Linked DNA regions of Oryzias latipes. The protein of the gene in region 2 binds, or shares a complex with, the protein of the main gene of each other region. Links are inferred from orthologs where the notes say so. Each region holds a gene or a part of one and is shown on either strand. Other genes may lie near its edges.

Region 1 (3,752 bases), on a different chromosome or scaffold from region 2:
CGTGTTGCAGATGCTCCTCCTTGGTTTTTGATTTAGTGTCATTAAACAGTCTTCAACTTGCCCTTTTTGCATCCAAGCCTTACCCTGCATCTGCATTCTGGAGCCCTAAACCGAAACATGATGACCTGTGATCGTCTTTCAAGCTGTTCATGTCTTTTGGCCTGTTAATGTTTCTGTCAATGAACGTCTTTTGGCTTAAGCACGTCTTTCAATTTATGAATGTCTTTCAGTCTGTGAACATCTTTCAGTTTATGAACGTCTTTCAGTCTTCTAACGTCTTTCATTTTGTGAACGTCTTGCAGTCTATGAACGTCTTTATGAACGTCTTTCAGTCTGTGCACGTCTTTCAATTTATGAATGTCTTTCAGTCTGTGAACATCTTTCAGTTTATGAACGTCTTTCAGTCTTTGAACGTCTTTCATTTTGTGAACGTCTTGCAGTCTATGAACGTCTTTATGAACGTCTTTCAGTCTGTGCACATCTTTCAGTCTGTGACAATCTTTCACTCTGTGAACGTCTTTCAGTTTGTGAATGTCTTTCAGTTTGTGAAGGTCTTTCTGGTTGTACAAATCTTTTGACACAGAAACGTCTTTTTGTGTGTGCACGTGTGACAAGCAGAGCAGTACAGGAGCAGTCAGTGTGGTTGCATTTGTCCGGTTATGTCTGCGAGCTTGTCTTACTTTCCATTCCTTCATACTTGACGTTCAGTCATTTTACACCTGTGATTTAGCATCAGTTCACTTTTAATTTTTTTTTTCCTTTTTTTTTGGATCTTAGTTTTTTTGTGTTTTACTTAATGTGTGCCCTTGCTGCCTTCTTTTTATAGTTGCTTATGGGTAGTTTTGTCTTTTTTTAGGCTTCTGCAGGAGACTCTTCCTCTCCTCCATTCTCTGTCCCTTTGCACGGACACAAACTGCAATACATAGCAGGGGGTTTATAAGTCATCTTTTTAACATTGAATGCCCTCCAGTTTGCCTATTTCTTTGGTACAGAAATTCATTCTTTTGCCATCGGAACTGTCTGTTATTTCATTCAAAGTTTCCCCACACTTCCTTGTTCTTTGTACTGAGAGAGCAAGGCGCCCTTATCTCACACTGAATCATTAACCAACGGTGTGAGACTGAGAGGCAGAACTGAGAAGCTCTGAAAGAGAACTAAGACCAGTGAAAGGTCGATGTGCCGAGGTTGCATTTGCATTCCTGCTGCGCTGGAGCTTCGCTCAGGTGTTGGATCTCCTCGTCATGGAACTACTGCCTTCGCTGCTGTCAGCCCTCAAGGCTCGGGATACCAGAAGTTTGGAGCAGGAGTTCAACGTGAGTGTCTGCTTAAATCCCTCAGAGAACAGGTAAATAGGTAGCCCTGATGGTCAGTGTTTCTCAGAATGAGCTGGAGCTTCTGTAGGTGAGACATTTATTTGTTGTTAAGATCAGAATTATCTAAAACTTTAGGATAAACAGCAAATACACCACATGTTTAAACTAAAAATAAAACAACAGACATGTAACTCTCTGGTCATGGTGGTTGAGGTTAGTGTGCCTTTCGGCTGTCAGTTGAGGACACAGTGAGCCTTGCAGTTAGGGCTGCTCCCTTGTTGTTTGTTTCTTTGTCGTCTCTGAATCATTAATTCAAATGAGCTGCAGCCAGTGAGCTCTGAAAGAGCTACTGTTTCCCATCAGCCTGTGTTCTGTCTCTAACAAGCCTCCTAACGCTCAACCAACGACGCACAGATGACACGAATGTTTTTTAAAGCATTTGTGTCGGTTTAAACTAGAGTGAAAGAGGTCTTTAGATTGACCTCACACTATGTGATACCCTTGCCCCCCCATCTCTGACAGACTTGACGCCCAGTCGGGTCATGCTGATACCTGAGAGCAGCATGAAGCTGCTTGTTTGTGCAGCGATATAACGGAGGAATAAGAAGGAACACAGAAGAATGAGATGATGGAAATGAAATGTGTGTGAGCAAAGGGGACGTAAAAGTCAGGGATGTGTTTTTAGGTCAGGTAAAAATGAAGATTCAAACCTTCAAGTAACCACTTCAATAAAAGCTCTTGTTGTTTCTTCTGTAAAAATGAGACCTTCTGCTGGATATCATGATAACTCTTTTTGAGGTTCATGTTGGGATGGGAAGGTCAGCTTCAATGGGACTTTACTGTTTTCAAAAATCCATGTGTTTACATTAAAAATGTATTGAATCATAAACGCTGTAATTACACTGGACAAAAAATATTAACACCACATTTTTGTTTTTGCTCCATTTATCATTAAACGAACTCAAAGATCTGACACATTTTCTGCAAACAGCGCAACCATTTCTCTCAGATATTGTTCACAAATGTGTCTAAATCTGTAAATGTGAGCACTTCTCTCTCGCTGAGATAATCCATCCCACCCCGCAGGTGTGCCATATCAACATGCTGATTGGACAGCATGATTACTGCACAGGTGTGCCTTAGACAGGCCAGACTGAAAGACCACCCTGAAACATGCCATTTTGTTTTAATGTTTTAATCCAGCAAGTGTGTCATTACTGTTGTTTTGTTAAAATGGGCAGTGAGTCAATCACCCAAAGGCAAACATAAGCACTAAACAGAACTACCAACACCCAGACTGTGCTGATGTTATCCTGCTTTCTACCTTACCTTTTTATCTCAGCTGATCAGATGTGAAATAAAGGGACAGTTCAGTGGAAGATGTGGAACGTGCTCGATTCCCCTTTGGTGCAGCCAGAAGGCCCAGTTTCAAATTCCAGGTGGTGCCTTTCTATGTTCTTCCCGTGCATTCATTTTATATTCGTCCCTCAGTCCAGAATCATGCTTCATGGGTTAATTGGGGACTAAGTTGTCTTTTAGGTGTTCATGTGAGTGTGTGTGATTCTGTGGCCCTGCAACAGACTGGTGGCTTGTCCAGGGTGACCCAACCTTTACCTAACAGTGGTTGGGATAGGCTCCAGCAACCATGTGACCCTACAAGGGAATAAGCAGGTTTTAAAAAAAATGCGGACCATCTCCCGTAATGACCAGGTGATGTAGACATCACCTTTCACGAGGAAAACTCGGAAGGACAAACAAAGCCTGATCAAAGGAGAAGTGGAATTTTATTAGGGAAATAAGATATCTTCAGAGTGGAGACAGAAAGTCTGTTTTACTTTGTGTCTCACTTCAGGTATTTGCAAAATAGATAATAAGAAATCTCTCTACATTAAAATTTTCTTGAATAAAATGTCAGTGGAACATTTGCATTCAAACTAAATGAATGAGGCAAATCTCAAACACCAACATCGGAGGGGATGCAGAAGGACATCCGTCCAGCTGCTTTGCAGCAGGGGGTAGTTATGTTGACTTCTGCCAAAGTGTAGCTGAACAACAGACTCACACAGCTGCATTCATTTACATAAGCCAGGTAAATCAATATTCAAAACACGTTTGATTGTAAAAATGACAATTCTGAGAACCACGTCCCGAAAGGATCGCTTCTTTCCTGCTCCACGGTTTCAGACTTGAACTGATCAAACACACGTCTGCTCCTGGATGGAAGTGCAGGAAAAATGATGAAAAGAAGAGTTCAGGTGCAGAAAAAAAGCAGACAGCTGTTGCGGCTACAGTTCAGTGAGCTGCTATTTTGAGAAGTTCAGACTTTCTGACTCACCATTGGTTCACAGTTGATCTGTGGCGGCCTCCGAAACAAACTCTGTCTTGCATTGACCATTGCATAGATCGACCGACCTGTCACCTGAAACTCTTCAGGGAGAC
Region 2 (3,655 bases):
AGATGTATGAGTCTATGCACTTGGGGAAAGTTTGGAAATAGAGCAGGAAAATTGTATTGTGTGCGTGTCTGTGTGTAAATACATATATGTGGGGGGGTTTTTTGGACAAAGCACAAGAAATGTTAGCCCCCAATAGACTGAAAACAAAAAGGATAACAAGCCTGAGAACATCTCACAGGATCAAGCATCTCCTTGAGATGCTACTGCTAAATCCTCCATAAACAACAATAATTACAACATAATCCAACATCTTGAAGTTTGTTGACAAAGACAGTCTGATCTAATTTTTTGGTATTTCTTGTATCATGGAAAATTTGGAGAAAAAAAAGTCCTGAAATATTGACTATTTCCCATATGTTATGATTTAAATTCAAATAAATTTAAAAATCTGCATTTGATACCTTCTGGGATTCTGGGGTGCCAGGAAGATCTACCATTGAAAATGCAAGGTGCCAAGTTGGTGAAGGTAGTAGTATTATGGTGTGGAAGTTTTTATTTTATTTTGTTGTTCCAACAAAAATGATTTTTAAACACTTCAGCACATTTTTATTTTAGAGAACTTTAAGTTCTTTTGGCAGTGTTCTAACATGATGCTCAAAGCTACAGCCTCATAAAGATGAGCGTTTAGAACACTTTTCAGATACATTTCAGTTGGAAAAAAAACATGTTTGAGTAGGATACATAAATTTGACCAATAAATAAATAAACATATATATATTTGTATGACAGAAGGAATCCATGCATTACAGTCTTTAATGTCACATTGATAAGCGTGTAGTGAGTTTGAGGTCTGCAGACAGAAATCTGTGATTGTGGGCGGAGTCAGAGTGCCACTCCTCGCGCAGGCCTTCACGGGAGCGCGCTTGTCACACTGTTACTACCAACAGTCCGAGTTCGGAAGTCTCCGTGGATAGGAAGAAGGGCAGCAATTTCACTAAGGGAGTCGAGATTAAAGCTGCTATTATTTTAAGGTCTAATATTTTAAGAAGGAAAAGACCTATTGTGTTTTTTTTGTCGGCTACAACGAATATTAGACAGACCTAACTCTGGAATATGGACTAAACGCGCCGGGTGCGAGCAGATGGAAGCCGCGAGAAGTTTGGTGTTTATCGGAGCCGTTCTGCTCGGAGTGCCGGGCGTTTTGGGCGGAGAAGGTGGGTGACTTTTGTCGTCTTTTGCGCTCTCACGGTTTGGGAACGCGGACATACTAGACCCCGTTCGAGTTGTGTTCGTGTGGACGTGAAGTGTGAAGTCGACGCGGGTTCCTGCATTCCTCGTACGTGATTTCGTCCTCCCTGCGGAGATTCATGGGAGTTATGGAGCGCAGATAAGGACAAAATTCCCACCTGTCAAAAAGTAGCTTCGCTAAAAGCTTTCAGTTTGAATTTCAATTACAAACTTACACTAAATTGAATAAAGAGAGTTAAAGCCACATAGTTGGGCAATAAACTCGAGAACTGGTGTTGAGATGCAGCAGAGCAGTGTTGGTAAACAACAAACAAACAAACAAACAAAAGCTCTGTGTGCAGAAGATCATCATGACTATGTCAATTATTCACTTCTGGCTCCTAAGGGGACATTGTCTGATAGAGGGCCACTTATCACACTTGGAGCTTGGAGTGCATGCCAGTAAAGTAAGAGCTAACTAACTGAAAGTGCAAATAAGAGCAAATTTGCAAAATGCAAATCAAGATTTCTTTTGTTTAAAGCCAAACCTGAGGAGTTTTTGGATTTCTTCATGTTGCAGAAAGTAGCACCGCTCTAAACTATTTGTTTCATTGTTTTTCACATTTCATATACCAATTATATAAAGTCGAAGAAAAGGAGTCAGATTTGAAAAACTCCAATATCATTTTTTATTTCTGCAAGAAAACCACAGTTTTCATGATTATTATTATGAACTAGTTTAATATCTGTTCTAGGAGGATTTAGCAATATCAATAAACATGTAAAACCTTTGCACAGACTGAGACTATGTGCAGACTTTATTAAATTGCCAGTTTTTGGGGTTAAAAACAACAAAAAGAGCCATGAATTTTTTTTTTTGGACTTTGATTACCAATTTCCAGCTCAATTAAGTTGAAAGACGAAATCCTTAGAGCACAAACAATACTCCTGTTTTATTAGCTGCCCCCGAAGCACTACCACTAATCGGACACACGCAGGAACAAAGCCAGTAGTCACAGGTGAAGTCATTTCTGAACGCGACAGCATTGTTGGGGGGAACAGGTTGGTGCACTTTAGTCTGCAGTGTTGATCTCTGAAGCATCGGACCTGTGCCGGAGTGCTCTGACTGGTTCCCAGAGTTAAGCAACATGTTATGCCCAAGTGTTGACTTCCAGCCTTCTTACTTTCATTTGTTATGTCACTCACACGTGTGCACAGCCCCTCTATGCAGGATCCTTGGTGTGAGGCGATTGCCTCAGTGGACGCACAGTTCACGCCCTTGTCATATTTTAGCGCACCTCAAGGCAAAGTCTATTTGAATTGACGCTAGTTGCAGGTTAACTCTGCCCGTCTAGACTGTTAGTGACCTGACCCACTCTGACTGAGATCAGGATGGTCGTTCTCTAAAAAGGCTCCGCTCACCCTCATGTTTTTCAGAGGAACGTCCGTTTTTTGGCAATAAAAAACTTTTAATTCAACCAATCAAGCATCTTATTGTTTTAATATTATTTTGCATCTTAACCTGGGCATTTAACACTAAGACACTATCATTTTTTTCATGTAAACCTTTTAAAGGCTGTGTTTGAAGATCAATTTGTTTCAATTAAAAAGACAATTCAAAAATATGAAATTCCTCGATTTAATTCTTTTTATAAGAATGTATCACAAATTATCTGGAAAAATGTATCAAATTTATTCGTTTCTATTGTGAGATTTCACAATATTATGATCAAAGGTTTTACTTTTGGTCACTTCATCACTAAACAACTTATTTTAAAACAAAAATTTGACCAGTAAAATGACATTTAATCAATTGTAATGAATCCTATCAAAATTTAGAATTTCTTATCAAAGACTTTACCAATAATCACACTAAAGTTCTCACTTCAGCTCAGGTTATATCTAAAATGCTTTTTTACTTGGAGGGAGATTTGTCTATATTATATGTTGTCATTATTTGTATAAAATGCTCAAATTGCCCTTACCCTACATAAAATGTTTGCATGTCAGTGTTATTTTATTGCATGTATGCAAAATGTGCGTGTGTGTGTTTTTTTTTTAAAGATTTTGTGCATGAATGGTTTCCCATAAGCTCAACTCTCATGTTCAGACCCGGCATTGGAGCAGCTAAATTTAAAAAGAGGACTGTGATGCGTTCACTAATAATAGTCAGTGGTGTGGATGCTTCATAAATATCTTGAAGGCTTGAAGCTCTTGGGTCTCTCCTTGTTGTCTTCATATAGATCCAAAGGTTAAAAAATATCATATTTATATGACTTTGATGCACATTTTTATGCCTTCAGTTTCCCAAAATATTGTCGGTCTGTAGGAATTTATTTGTTCTTTTGACCTGGAACTGAATTTCTATGATACACAGTACTCAGAAATCTGTCAAATTGTTTTAGCTCAATGTTGGTAAACTACATTGACTGTAGGTCTGCATGATATGAGGAAAACTTGCAATATTAGTATTCAATATTGTGATGAC

The links.
Region 1: the proteins of receptor tyrosine-protein kinase erbB-2 (region 2) and tyrosine-protein phosphatase non-receptor type 18 are in contact, whole or in part, in a crystal structure (PDB 4NND), measured with the Homo sapiens proteins. The link is inferred for Oryzias latipes from reciprocal best matches to the Homo sapiens genes ERBB2 and PTPN18. Residues at the interface, in NP_004439.2 of Homo sapiens: Leu1109, Gln1110, Arg1111, Tyr1112, Ser1113, Glu1114; in NP_055184.2 of Homo sapiens: Arg61, Tyr62, Lys63, Asp64, Val65, Arg138, Asp197, Arg198, Ser230, Ala231, Gly232, Cys233, Gly234, Arg235, Arg268, Ala273, Gln276.

The regions. Positions count from the first base shown.
Region 1 is NC_019865.2:32,123,673-32,127,424, reverse strand, and holds the start of tyrosine-protein phosphatase non-receptor type 18, read left to right. Parts: upstream 1-1,121; 5' UTR 1,122-1,241; coding exon 1,242-1,313; intron 1,314-3,752. UniProt on the Homo sapiens protein: Differentially dephosphorylate autophosphorylated tyrosine kinases which are known to be overexpressed in tumor tissues.
Region 2 is NC_019877.2:7,422,758-7,426,412, reverse strand, and holds the start of receptor tyrosine-protein kinase erbB-2, read left to right. Parts: upstream 1-851; 5' UTR 852-1,081; coding exon 1,082-1,154; intron 1,155-3,655. UniProt on the Homo sapiens protein: Protein tyrosine kinase that is part of several cell surface receptor complexes, but that apparently needs a coreceptor for ligand binding. Essential component of a neuregulin-receptor complex, although neuregulins do not interact with it alone.